3 linked regions of the Caenorhabditis elegans genome follow. The protein of the gene in region 1 purifies or fractionates together with the protein of each later gene. This does not show direct contact. Each region holds a gene or a part of one and is shown in the gene's direction. Other genes may lie near its edges. The genes, in order: mcrs-1, T16G12.1 and ruvb-2.

Region 1 (3,754 bases):
CTTGTTCTTCAATTCCCATTGGTACGTATTGTCCTTGCTTGAGAAGCTCGGTAAGACGGACTCCTCTGTTCAAAAGTTGTTGTGTGGAGGCATCGAGATCAGATCCGAATTGGGCGAAAGCAGCGACCTCACGGTACTGAGCTAACTCGAGCTTCATGGATCCGGCGACTTGCTTCATGGCCTTGGTTTGAGCAGCAGATCCTACACGGGATACAGACAGACCGACGTTGATGGCTGGTCGTACTCCCTTGTAGAAGAGTTCAGTCTCCAAGAAGATCTGTCCGTCAGTGATGGAAATGACATTGGTTGGAATGTAAGCAGACACATCTCCGGCTTGAGTCTCAATGACTGGGAGAGCGGTGAGAGATCCTCCTCCGAGGCTGTTGTTCATCTTGGCGGCACGTTCGAGAAGACGGGAGTGAAGGTAGAAGACATCTCCTGGGTAAGCCTCACGACCTGGTGGACGACGGAGAAGAAGAGACATTTGACGGTAGGCGACGGCTTGCTTGGACAGATCGTCGAAGATGATGAGAGCATGTTTTCCGTTGTCACGGAAATGCTCTCCCATGGCGCATCCAGAGTATGGAGCCAAGAATTGGAGTGGAGCGGCATCGGAGGCGGTAGCAGACACAACGATGGTGTAGTCCATGGCTCCGGCGTCAGTGAGACGCTTCACAATCTGGGCGACGGTGGATCTCTTCTGTCCGACAGCGACGTAGATGCAGAAAAGCTTCTTCTTGTCGTCTCCAGCGTCGTTGAATCTCTTCTGGTTGATGATGGTGTCAATGGCAATGGCGGTCTTTCTGAAATTAATTGTTTAATAATTTTAATTAAGATTCGAGAAAATCAATACTTACCCGGTTTGACGATCTCCAATGATCAATTCACGTTGTCCACGTCCAATTGGCACAAGAGAATCGACGGCCTTGACTCCAGTAACCATTGGTTCGCGCACAGACAAACGTGGGATGATTCCTGGGGCCTTGACTTCGACACGAGATCTTCTGGCGTTGGCAATTGGTCCCTTTCCGTCAATTGGGTTTCCGAGGGCGTCAACAACACGTCCGAGAAGACCATCTCCGACTGGAACGTCGACGATGGCTCCGGTACGCTTGACGATGTCTCCTTCTCTGATGACCTTATCGTTTCCGAAGACGACAACTCCGACGTTGTCAACGTCCAAGTTCATGGCCATTCCCTTGATTCCTGAGTCGAACTCAACCATTTCTTCGGCCTGGATGTTCTTCAATCCGTAAACGCGAGCGATACCGTCTCCGATGGAGAGAACCTGAAACGAATAAAAATTAAAAAAAAAAAGCTTAAAAACGACGAGATAATCACCTTTCCGGTCTCCTCAAGGTTGATTCCAGTCTCGGTTCCGAGAATTCTCTCCTCGAGAATCTTGGAGACTTCGGATCCGGAAGCTCCGGCCATTCCGCGGGCGGTGGTGGCGATTCCGGCATTTTGGACCTGAAAAATGCAATTAATTAGAATTAATAATCAAAAATCAATAATTGAGCCGTAAATGTTGATTTAAGGGCATAATATCCGAAAAAAGCTCACAGCAAAAAAATTTAAAGTGGCAAATTAAATTTTCAAGCCTAAAAACAACATTTTCGGGTCAAATTCTGCGGAGAATTCGATAAAACTAACCTTGACGGCGGTGTTAAGAGCGGTAACAATGCGTTTGGACAACATCCTCAACGGGTCTGCTCGGAAAAAACGAATTCCAAAAGCAAAAGTAAAACCGAAGCTGCAGTTAAGGCGGCTCTCCCTGATGGGCGGTTGGGGGAATGCAGGTTGTCTGGTATACGGTAGGTGTTGGCATGCTGCCAAGTGTCTCAGTGGGGCGCGCTTGCTGACTCTCGTTTTTAGTGAACATTTTTTTTTAAAATCGATTTTCTCAATTTTTCGCTTGTTTTTCTTGAAAATTAAATTTTATTTCTTATTTCATCATTTTTAAAATAAAATTTCCTTTGATTTAACTGCAAAAACTTCAGGTTTGTCCCAAAAATGGCCGATAAACTCGACGAAATCATCGACAAGGTCGCCTCCGGCCAGCGAAAAAAGGATACAATAGAAGACACAGAAGAAGAAGGGACAAGGAAACGAAAAATCGAACAATTTGAGTGAGTGTTTCGACATTTTAATTAAAATAATTGAATTTTGCTCTAAAAAATGAATTAAATTACATTTTTCAGAGATATAGAGCGTCCCAACGAGCTGTCAGGATTTAAGAAGCAAAAAATTGAAGAAAACTCGGAGATACATGTGAGAAATCTCAGGAAACCTGATAAATTTCCATAAAAAATTAGATTTGATTTTTTCAGGCGGAAGAAACTGAAGAATCAGTGGAGGCCCAAATGGTGATGAAAAAGCCGTCTGAAGAGCCGGAACTGAAGCGGAGAAAGGTTAGAATTGCGGGGAAGATGCTGAAAATCCAGGATTATCCTCAAAAATATCGAATTTTCCTCGAAAAACCCCCGATTTTTTACAGATTCTCATTCACATGGAGCCCTCAATCACGGAAACGAACCCAATGAGGATCTGGACCGTCGCCGACGATCTGGCGCTTCTCACCGCCGTCGCTCACGTTCAATGCATCCGTTTCATCCACAATTCGCTGACATTTTCGCGAAAATTCACATTTTCCGACGTAGAAGAGCGTTATTGTCAGCTAATGTTCGACGAAGAAATATCAAAATCCGCAAAAGTTCGACTTGACGCCATGCCACATCGTTTGAAAGCTCAAATCGAGGCGAGGACGCCATTTACCAGGAATGAGGAGCGCACTCTTATGGAATTGGCGGAAAATCAGCTGAAAAACGCCAGAAAAGAGCGACAAGACGTGGAAAATCACACAGTTTTGACGATTCTCCATTTTAAGAAGATTTTAGACGGAAATCGGTATGGAAAATCGAAATTTTCCGCCAAAATTTGCCTTGCGGAGCTGATTGTTCAGCTTGGAAGCACCCAAAAAGCTAAAAAATCTGTGAAAATTTGAATTTCTAGTTGCAAATTTTGATTTTCTTCTAATTTCCACCGAAATATTGAAGTTTTTCACGCAATTTAAGCTAAATTAAGGTCTTTCTAGGTAAAAAAAAGAGAGATTTTCAGAAAAAAAAACTGATTTTTAATCCAAAAATTCAATTTTCTTCATATTTTTTAGACAATTATTAATTTTTTAGGGCCTCTTTCGACAAAAATATCAGATTTTCAAAGAAAAAACGTTAATTTTTAGTTAAAAACTGAATTTTTTCAGCCAAAAATTGATTTTTTCTCGTTTTTTCTTCTAATTATGCCAAAAATTCGAAGATCTAGGATTAAAATATCCAAAATATTGCAAAATGAGCCGATTTTTCAACTGAAATCACACAGAAAAACTAAATTTTCTATTAAAAATCAATTTTAACTGTAATTCTCTTTTTTTTGGCACTTTCCCAAAGAAAAACGCTAATTTTCCGTGAAAATGTGAACTTCTAGTTGAAAAGTTCGTTTTTCTTCATATTTTTAGTCGATTATTGATTTTTTCACGCAATTTTCTTTAAATTAGGCTTTCAGTAGGTGAAAAGAATTGATTTTCATAGAAAAAACCCCCTAATTTCCAATAAAAAGCAGACTTGTGTCGGTCATAAATCGATTTTCTGTAGTAATTAACGTCTTTTTGAGACTTTCTAGAGAAAAATTGTCATAAGTTAGCTTGAAAAGCCTCTAATGTTCAGATTTTGCTCAAAAAAGCCTTAAATTTTCACTC
Region 2 (3,754 bases), on another chromosome or scaffold:
TTTGACTTCAGCTAATCCTAGAAATTGCATCATCTGTCGACATAAAATTATCTAAACGCGGAAGGGAGGGCCGAGCAGAGACATTGAGCCTAGATTTCAGATTTTGACTGAATTTTTAGCACATTTTATGACGAAGCAAAGGGAATTGAGCTGAAAACGACGAAAAATGGGTAGTTTCATCGAGATTCTTCAGAGAAGGATGCTCCGGGGGGAGATTCTCTTCAGAATCGAGTTTACGCAAGATTACGCAAGATTTTTTGACCAATTTTAGCTATTTTAACGCGGAAAACTCGTGATTGAGAGCGATAAAAGGCTAATGATACCAGTTGCGAGTGTGATAATCGAATTGGAATCAAGATTACACGTAGAAAATCCAGATTCGTGTGTGAAAAAACGAAAATGAATTGGAGGACGACAAATATTCGAAATTCGAGCGGGAGAGTCGAAATTTTTTCGAAAATTGACAAATAAAACCAGATTTTGAGCATGATAGAGTCAAAATTTAGCTTTTTATGACTGTAAAGATCCATTTTCGAATGGGATAGTCGAAAATGAACCTAGAAAAGGCGATAATTGAAAGAAATCGACTTACCTCTGACCGCTGGAAGCCGCGCCACGTGCCTCCCTGACTCTGGATCCGTTTCCGGCTCGGAACTTAGTGATTCACGAGCCGGTTAGGTCGATGCACCAATGTTGACACCCGCAGTCGCTGGGGAGTCAGACCCAACGGGTGAGAACGGCGAAATGTGTGTTCGCGCGGAGGACACGGAGCTTGAACGAACGGCGGATGACGATGAGCGGTGCAGAGGGAATAACAGTACACTTTTAGATAAATCCAAGTTTATTATTGAATAAATAAATGGAATTATCAACGGGAACAAACGGATGACGTGGGGACGGGTGGCATCCGTGGTGAAACGTGTGAAGACTGAATGAGTTGGCCTAAAAAGGCATCTGAATATTTGTGTGGATTTACGGGAGTACGACGCTCCGCAATAACGCGAGTGTGCGGGGGGGGGGGGCGCACTTGCATTAGGAAATACGCAAATGGCGGTAATTCAAATAATAATATTTAATTAATTAAAGAATGGAATGTTTCTGAGTGAACGAATGGAACAGAGAGTGAGCGACTCATGCGGATGGTGATTGTGGGTTCGTGGGTGAACCTGACCAAGCGCCTATATCCGCAAAGTTGGGACGGACGGGCTCTGCGGAGCCCAAGTGACAACATTTATGGGGTTTTTGAACTACTATAAAATATCTTTTAAAAAAATGCCCACTGATATTTTTCCATCATTCACTAAATTTTTAACATGAAGTAATTATAAAAAATTGATGACTTAGCACTTGAACCAGTCATCAGTGAGACTAAAAGTCATTACTATCTTTTGATTACTAGAAACTCTGGAAGGAGAACCAAAAAATCACATCATAAACCATAAATTGGATTTAAATCGGTTTTGCGGTATTTGCGAACATTTGTTTTTAAAAACTGTAATCTTCATTAAATGCTCTAGAGATTCTCCAGCATCACTACCGATTCCCCAATTAGCGGACTCTGTCCCGAACTGACATTTTGGGAATTAGTATTAAAAGTGTGTCAAAAGTGATAAAATTGATAATTAGGTTTGTCATCTCGTTGTGATGTCACATCCCAGAAACCGATAAGGAAAGTACAGTGGCTGCTGCGTGCTCCGGAATAGGGAGAGCAAACTCAAAATTTCAAAGATAAAATCGCGAGAGGATTGTATAATCTACTCTTTTCATTTCGTGTGCTGCCGACTACGAAATGCGGCGGAAACTGCTTCTCTTACTTTGTTTTATTGGGCTCTTTAGCTTGATCTCCACTGCTCCTGCACCGAATAATGTTGGTTTGGAATCTGAATTCACAGGTTTGTCTACTTTTTAATAATGACGCTAGACTGCACATTCCCCCATAATTTGAAAAATTGATACTATATGTGCTTACAAAAAGTTAAACTAGGTGCGAATTTCCCTTGTGAATTTTGAATTTCTATGTGAAGCTGAGAATGTCCCACTCAACAAGCTACTTGATCTCCAAAATTGAAAGTAATCTAACGTGAAAATGTGAGAATTTTGGCATTTTTTATTGCCACTATGGCTCACTGAGCCGTTAAAGCTAAGCTTGTTACAAAATAGACTAGAAGGAACAATATAGTAATTTCTCATTTCAGAGGGACATGCTGAAACTATAAATTTGGAAGAAGTCGAATTCAATCATCCATCAATCTTGCCGGAACACCCAGATAATTTTAGACAGGATAAACTTGCAGCCAGGTTATTTCTTTTTTAGTTCAAAATCAAAATATTTAAAATCAAGTTCTTAAATTTACAGTATTTTAATTTTGGTGAAAAGTGCAAAAATTATTGAACATATAATTACACTACTCTTTGCCTCATTTGAGTTTGGAATCGTAATTTTTTTACTACGACGTAAAATGGTTTTGGCAAAAAAAGTTGTTATAGAACAAAAATCACTCGAAACATTGTTTTCAAATGTTCAATTTTATTGCAAAAATTGATAAGAAAAGTTTCGTAAAGATGCCGTATCTTGCATGTGACAGCTATCAACTATTCTGAAATTTTTATTCTAGAACTCATTGTGCTCTGAAAACATAATCATTACAAAAAATAATGAAAAATGAATTTCCAGAAAACGCCAAAGCCTTTATGTAACAAAAACACGTCTCCCACCAAATCTGTATGCCATTGACTATAGTCTATGGTTCCAACCATACTTCCCAAGCCCTGGAGTTCAATATGCACCAGGTACTAAACTTTTTATTACTTTTTCGAATGATGCAAGTTAACATCAGTATTACAGAGAAAAACTTCACATTCGACGGAAGAGCATCGATACAAGTGGAAGCATTGGTCGCATCGGACAGATTCATTCTGAATGCCTATAACTTTAAAATTCAAAGCTACAAAGTGGTTGATATCGATGGAACTGTAGTGCCAATCAACTCAATTTGTAAGGAATTGAACGTATATTGATAAAAAATACAAGAAAAGATTTATAGCACAAGATGACACTACGCAACAGTTATCACTGATTACAAATGCAAATGGTGTGGTCGCTGGTCAAATTTACAACATCGAATTTGTCTACACCGGTATTATCAATCCATACACGGATGGAGGGGTTTACTACACTTCATATAATGATCCACAAGGAAATACACAGTAAGGGGAAACAATGTAGAAAAGTGGTGGCGAAATTCTGTAACTTTGTGCAAGTAAACTCTCCAGAAAACATACAATTTATTGTTAGATTAAGAGTATATCGGTTAAGGGAGCGACCTCTGCTTTTTAAAAACTCGAAATTGGAAAATAAAATTCTAATTAAGAGTACCGTACTTTGACAGATTGATTATTATGTAGTCGATTTGCCGAAATTTTTGAAGCTCTTTTTTTATCGCTCATCACTTGTTAAATGTTTTGGGCAACATAATTGTCGAATTGCCAAGGTAGGCATAAAACAACATTTTTGGGGCCTGCCACCTACGTGTCTATAAAAAACACTGAGCCCAGCCAGTGCTGATATACTTCAAGAAACGATAGCTGAAGTCAATATTTTCACACTGATTTCTTGATTCGACTCAACCTCTTTTTAGCTACATGATTGCTACACATATGGAACCGTTCTCCGCTAGAAAAGTCTTCCCATCTCTTGACGAACCATCTTACAAAGCGGTAAGTGTTACAGAATAATCTTAGACAAAACAACTAA
Region 3 (3,754 bases), on another chromosome or scaffold:
AAAAATTACCAAAATTAACCTTTATAAGTGCTGAAACATTTTAGAAATACCACAGAGTACCTTCAGCATCTGGAAAATTCTGAGGGCTCCAAAATTTAAAAACAAGTTACATCCAAATAATTATATATTTAATTTGCAGTTTTCATGATTTTTTATTCAAAATTTAAACGCATACATGTCTTGTAAGTTAAAATTAGTAATCTTAACAGTATAAAGGAAACTTTAAATGTATAATAGTACTCATAGATAATATACAGTATCGCAACTTTAAAAGATATCCATTTTTCTGAAACCACGTTATTCTGATCTTTCACACATTTCTTCAAAACTTTGTGAACAGTTTGACTGAATTAATTAAACATAATGGCTTGAATGCCATCTCCGTCTGTTTCAACAGATATGAATCTATTCTTTCACAAATCCACTGCGTCATTCAGGACTTCATTTATCTTCCTATTGATTCTTCAATTCACTCCGATTAAGTTTTACTATTTGATGAAAGTTCAACTTCATCGTCATTTGAATTATGTGCTCTCTTTATTTCTGGTATTATTGTTTCTGATTTATGTATTCTCAAGAACAGACTTACATTTAAACAGTGTCTAATGTTGTTTTGTGTGAATTGCAATGAGAGTTTATAATTTTTGTGACTAATTTTCATTTTGACCTTTGAAGAAATAAACGATTTTTTTGTTGTTGGGTTATTTTTATGTGTATAGTAAAATTGAAATGATTTGCTTCTTAATATTTTTGATACCGTATATTCTCTATTAGTTCGGCACCCCCAATTGCTCAACTTTGACAGCTTATATCTCGGATTTAAGCCAAAAATTTCAACTAAGAACATCTTTGTTAAATCTTTTTCTTTTTCTATGTTTTTCATTTTTCGATATCTTCAAAAGCGTGCGAGTTACATATACGCTATTAAAATAGAGCGGTTGAGGTGCCGCACTAATAGAGAATATGTGGGATATAGAGCTCTTTTCGAATGTACAGCGTATCTGTTAAATTTCTGTGATAGTTTTTGAAAATTAGTTTCTGAAAATGAAAACTTATAAGTAGGTTACGATAGAATCATGGAATCGACTGCTACAGCACTTTCCGAAAGTTTGAATTCAGGATATGCAGGATTTCTACCAAAACGTTCCACCGCCTCGGATTTAATTCTCTAAAATCGTATTTCCTAGCCAGAAAAAAGACTTGCCACGTGTAAGCGAGAAGACAAGGCAAAGGCTTGATAGCAATCTTCGCTTCTAAGCATATGCTTTGAAAACCCCGCATACAGCCTCATCGTCGCCCTCATTTCTCTTCCAAATGGCTAACATTGTACCTATTCATAAATCTTTAGAGTATTCACTGGTTGATGTACCACTTCTTTGTAAGAATGATGATCCGAATGATGAGATTGTGATCTATAGCAAATATTCGAATTCAAGAAGATTTATTGATTGGGCTCTTGTTATCACTGTGGCAATTACAGCATGCTATTCCTTATTCACATTGAGCAAATTTTATCTTTGAATTATTGGGAAAAAAGGTTTTGATTGATTTCTTTTGGCATTTTAATTAATTTCTTCAGAAATGATCCCGGCAATCGAACTTGAACATTCTGGTAAAAAAAGAGCATCTAAGTATTCAATTGCGCTTTTTTTCTATATTTATCTTTTTTATAATTGGTTTTATACATAAGATTTTATAAGTTCTGATTTTTTTAATTGATAAAATAAATACATTTATTTATGCTCGATTGATCAAATTTGAAAACATTTTACAAGGCTCATAAAGATTAAATTAATTTTCTTTAATATCCAGTCACTTTCAAAAACTTGACCGACCAAAATAACTTTAAATGCTTAATTTATAAATTTTTTTAAAATTAATTTATCCAACTCCAGATCACGTTGCTATATAATTAGAGAGTGAGACGCAGAAAGTGCGAGTTGACGCACTTCTCGTGCCCCTTGATTGACGCTTTTTCTGTGGTTGGCGCGTTTCGTGCGCGCGATTTTCGAATTTTAGGTTCACTTTTTCCGAATTTCAGCAAATTTTCAGCTTTATATTTCAATTTCAGACATCAAAATGGCGACATTGGACGGAATTAATGTGAAAGATATTGTAAAGGTATTTTGTTGCTCATATATTCAATTTTTGTGTTCAATTTAGCATATTTTCTAATAAAATCTAGGTTCAATTGCATTACAGTATATTTTCCAGGTTGAACGCACCTCCGTACATTCACATATTACTGGTCTAGGTCTTAATGATCGTTTAGAAGCTGAATATGTGTCTGGAGGAATGGTCGGCCAGGTTGCCGCTAGACAAGCTGCAGGACTTATTGTCAAAATGATTCAGGTAATGTTTTCTGCACAAAAATTCAAAACTAAAATTGCTACTATATTTTTTAGGAGGGAAAAATTGCCGGACGTGCTCTTCTTGTGACAGGAGAGCCTGGAGCTGGAAAGACTGCTATCGCCATCGCAATTTCCAAAGAACTTGGTGAGGACACCCCATTTGTCAGTATTGTCGCTTCAGAGGTTAGTCTAATGTTTTTTTTCAGATTAATAAATATCTTTTTTAAATTTCAGATTTATTCAAACGAAATCAACAAAACAGAGGCACTTACTCAAGCTTTTCGACGTGCTCTGGGAATTCAGATTAAAGAAGAAACTGAAGTTTTGGAAGGAGAAGTGATCTCGTTGGAAGTTGATCGGTCAGCAAATGGAATGGGACCAAAGGTCGGAAAACTCACAATGCGTACAACTGATATGGAAACTATCTACGATCTTGGATCAAAAATGGTTGATGCGTGTCTGAAAGAGAAAGTGATGCCCGGTGATGTTATTCAAGTTGATAAGGCTTCTGGTGAGAATTTTATTTAATCAAAAAACTGAAAAATTATCGTTTTTAGGACGTGTTACTCGACTTGGCCGTTCATTCAACCGTTCCCACGACTATGACGCAATGGGTCCAAAAGTGAAGCTTGTTCAGTGTCCAGATGGAGAAATTCAAAAGAGACGTGAAACTGTTCACACAGTTTGTCTTCACGACATTGACGTCATCAATTCTCGTACCCAAGGATACGTGGCACTCTTCTCAGGAGACACTGGAGAGATCAAAGCAGAAGTGAGAGATCAGATTAATAAGAAGGTTTTGGAGTGGAGAGAAGAGGGAAAAGCAAAGTTTGTACCAGGAGTATTGTTTATTGATGAAGCTCATATGCTTGATATCGAATGCTTTTCGTTCCTCAACAGAGCCATCGAAGGCGAACTCAGTCCCTTGATTATCATGGCCACCAACAGGTTTGCAAATATATTTTTTTTAATATTGAGTTTTTAATTAAATATCTTTAGATTGATCGAAAAAGTGCGTGGAACAGATGTCGAATCTGCTCATGGCATCCCATCTGATTTCCTTGATCGTATGCTCATCATCAACGCGATCCCATATACTAAAGAAGATACAGCAAAGATTTTGTCAATTCGATGTGATGAAGAAGGAGTCAAGTGAGATATATCTTTTAAAAACGCTCCACCGGCAATTGGAAACGCTCTGTCCCCGATCCATGGGTCTTGTTAGGAAAATGGCGACAAAACCGTGAATTCAAACGTTTTTCGATCAGCTTCGCAGATTTCGCCAAAATTTAGGCATTTTTCCGATGTTTTAGTGGTTTTTTGAGCTGAATGAGGTTTTTTTTATTTGACTGAATTTTATTTTATCAGTCTGCATAAAAATCACTAAGAAAAACTGGAAACTT

Evidence for each region.
Region 2: the proteins of mcrs-1 (region 1) and T16G12.1 fractionate together in Caenorhabditis elegans (co-fractionation; one large-scale study listed by BioGRID). This does not show direct contact.
Region 3: the proteins of mcrs-1 (region 1) and ruvb-2 fractionate together in Caenorhabditis elegans (co-fractionation; one large-scale study listed by BioGRID). This does not show direct contact.

The regions. Positions count from the first base shown.
Region 1 is NC_003279.8:12,650,334-12,654,087, reverse strand, and holds the start of mcrs-1 (FHA domain-containing protein), read left to right. Parts: upstream 1-2,000; 5' UTR 2,001-2,013; coding exon 2,014-2,129; intron 2,130-2,201; coding exon 2,202-2,271; intron 2,272-2,330; coding exon 2,331-2,411; intron 2,412-2,497; coding exon 2,498-2,907; intron 2,908-3,754. Other genes in the region: atp-1 (ATP synthase subunit alpha, mitochondrial), read right to left, coding at 2-803, 858-1,288, 1,342-1,470, 1,654-1,698.
Region 2 is NC_003281.10:10,047,779-10,051,532, reverse strand, and holds the start of T16G12.1 (Putative aminopeptidase-2), read left to right. Parts: upstream 1-1,675; 5' UTR 1,676-1,789; coding exon 1,790-1,892; intron 1,893-2,195; coding exon 2,196-2,298; intron 2,299-2,674; coding exon 2,675-2,790; intron 2,791-2,845; coding exon 2,846-2,995; intron 2,996-3,044; coding exon 3,045-3,207; intron 3,208-3,638; coding exon 3,639-3,717; exon of another isoform or gene 3,718-3,754. UniProt on the Caenorhabditis elegans protein: Putative aminopeptidase which plays a role in oocyte maturation.
Region 3 is NC_003282.8:6,917,724-6,921,477, reverse strand, and holds the start of ruvb-2 (RuvB-like 2), read left to right. Parts: upstream 1-2,071; 5' UTR 2,072-2,079; coding exon 2,080-2,121; intron 2,122-2,214; coding exon 2,215-2,352; intron 2,353-2,405; coding exon 2,406-2,534; intron 2,535-2,585; coding exon 2,586-2,862; intron 2,863-2,908; coding exon 2,909-3,299; intron 3,300-3,350; coding exon 3,351-3,503; intron 3,504-3,754. Other genes in the region: T22D1.18 (Transposase), read left to right, coding at 1,315-1,521. UniProt on the Caenorhabditis elegans protein: Possesses single-stranded DNA-stimulated ATPase and ATP-dependent DNA helicase (5' to 3') activity suggesting a role in nuclear processes such as recombination and transcription.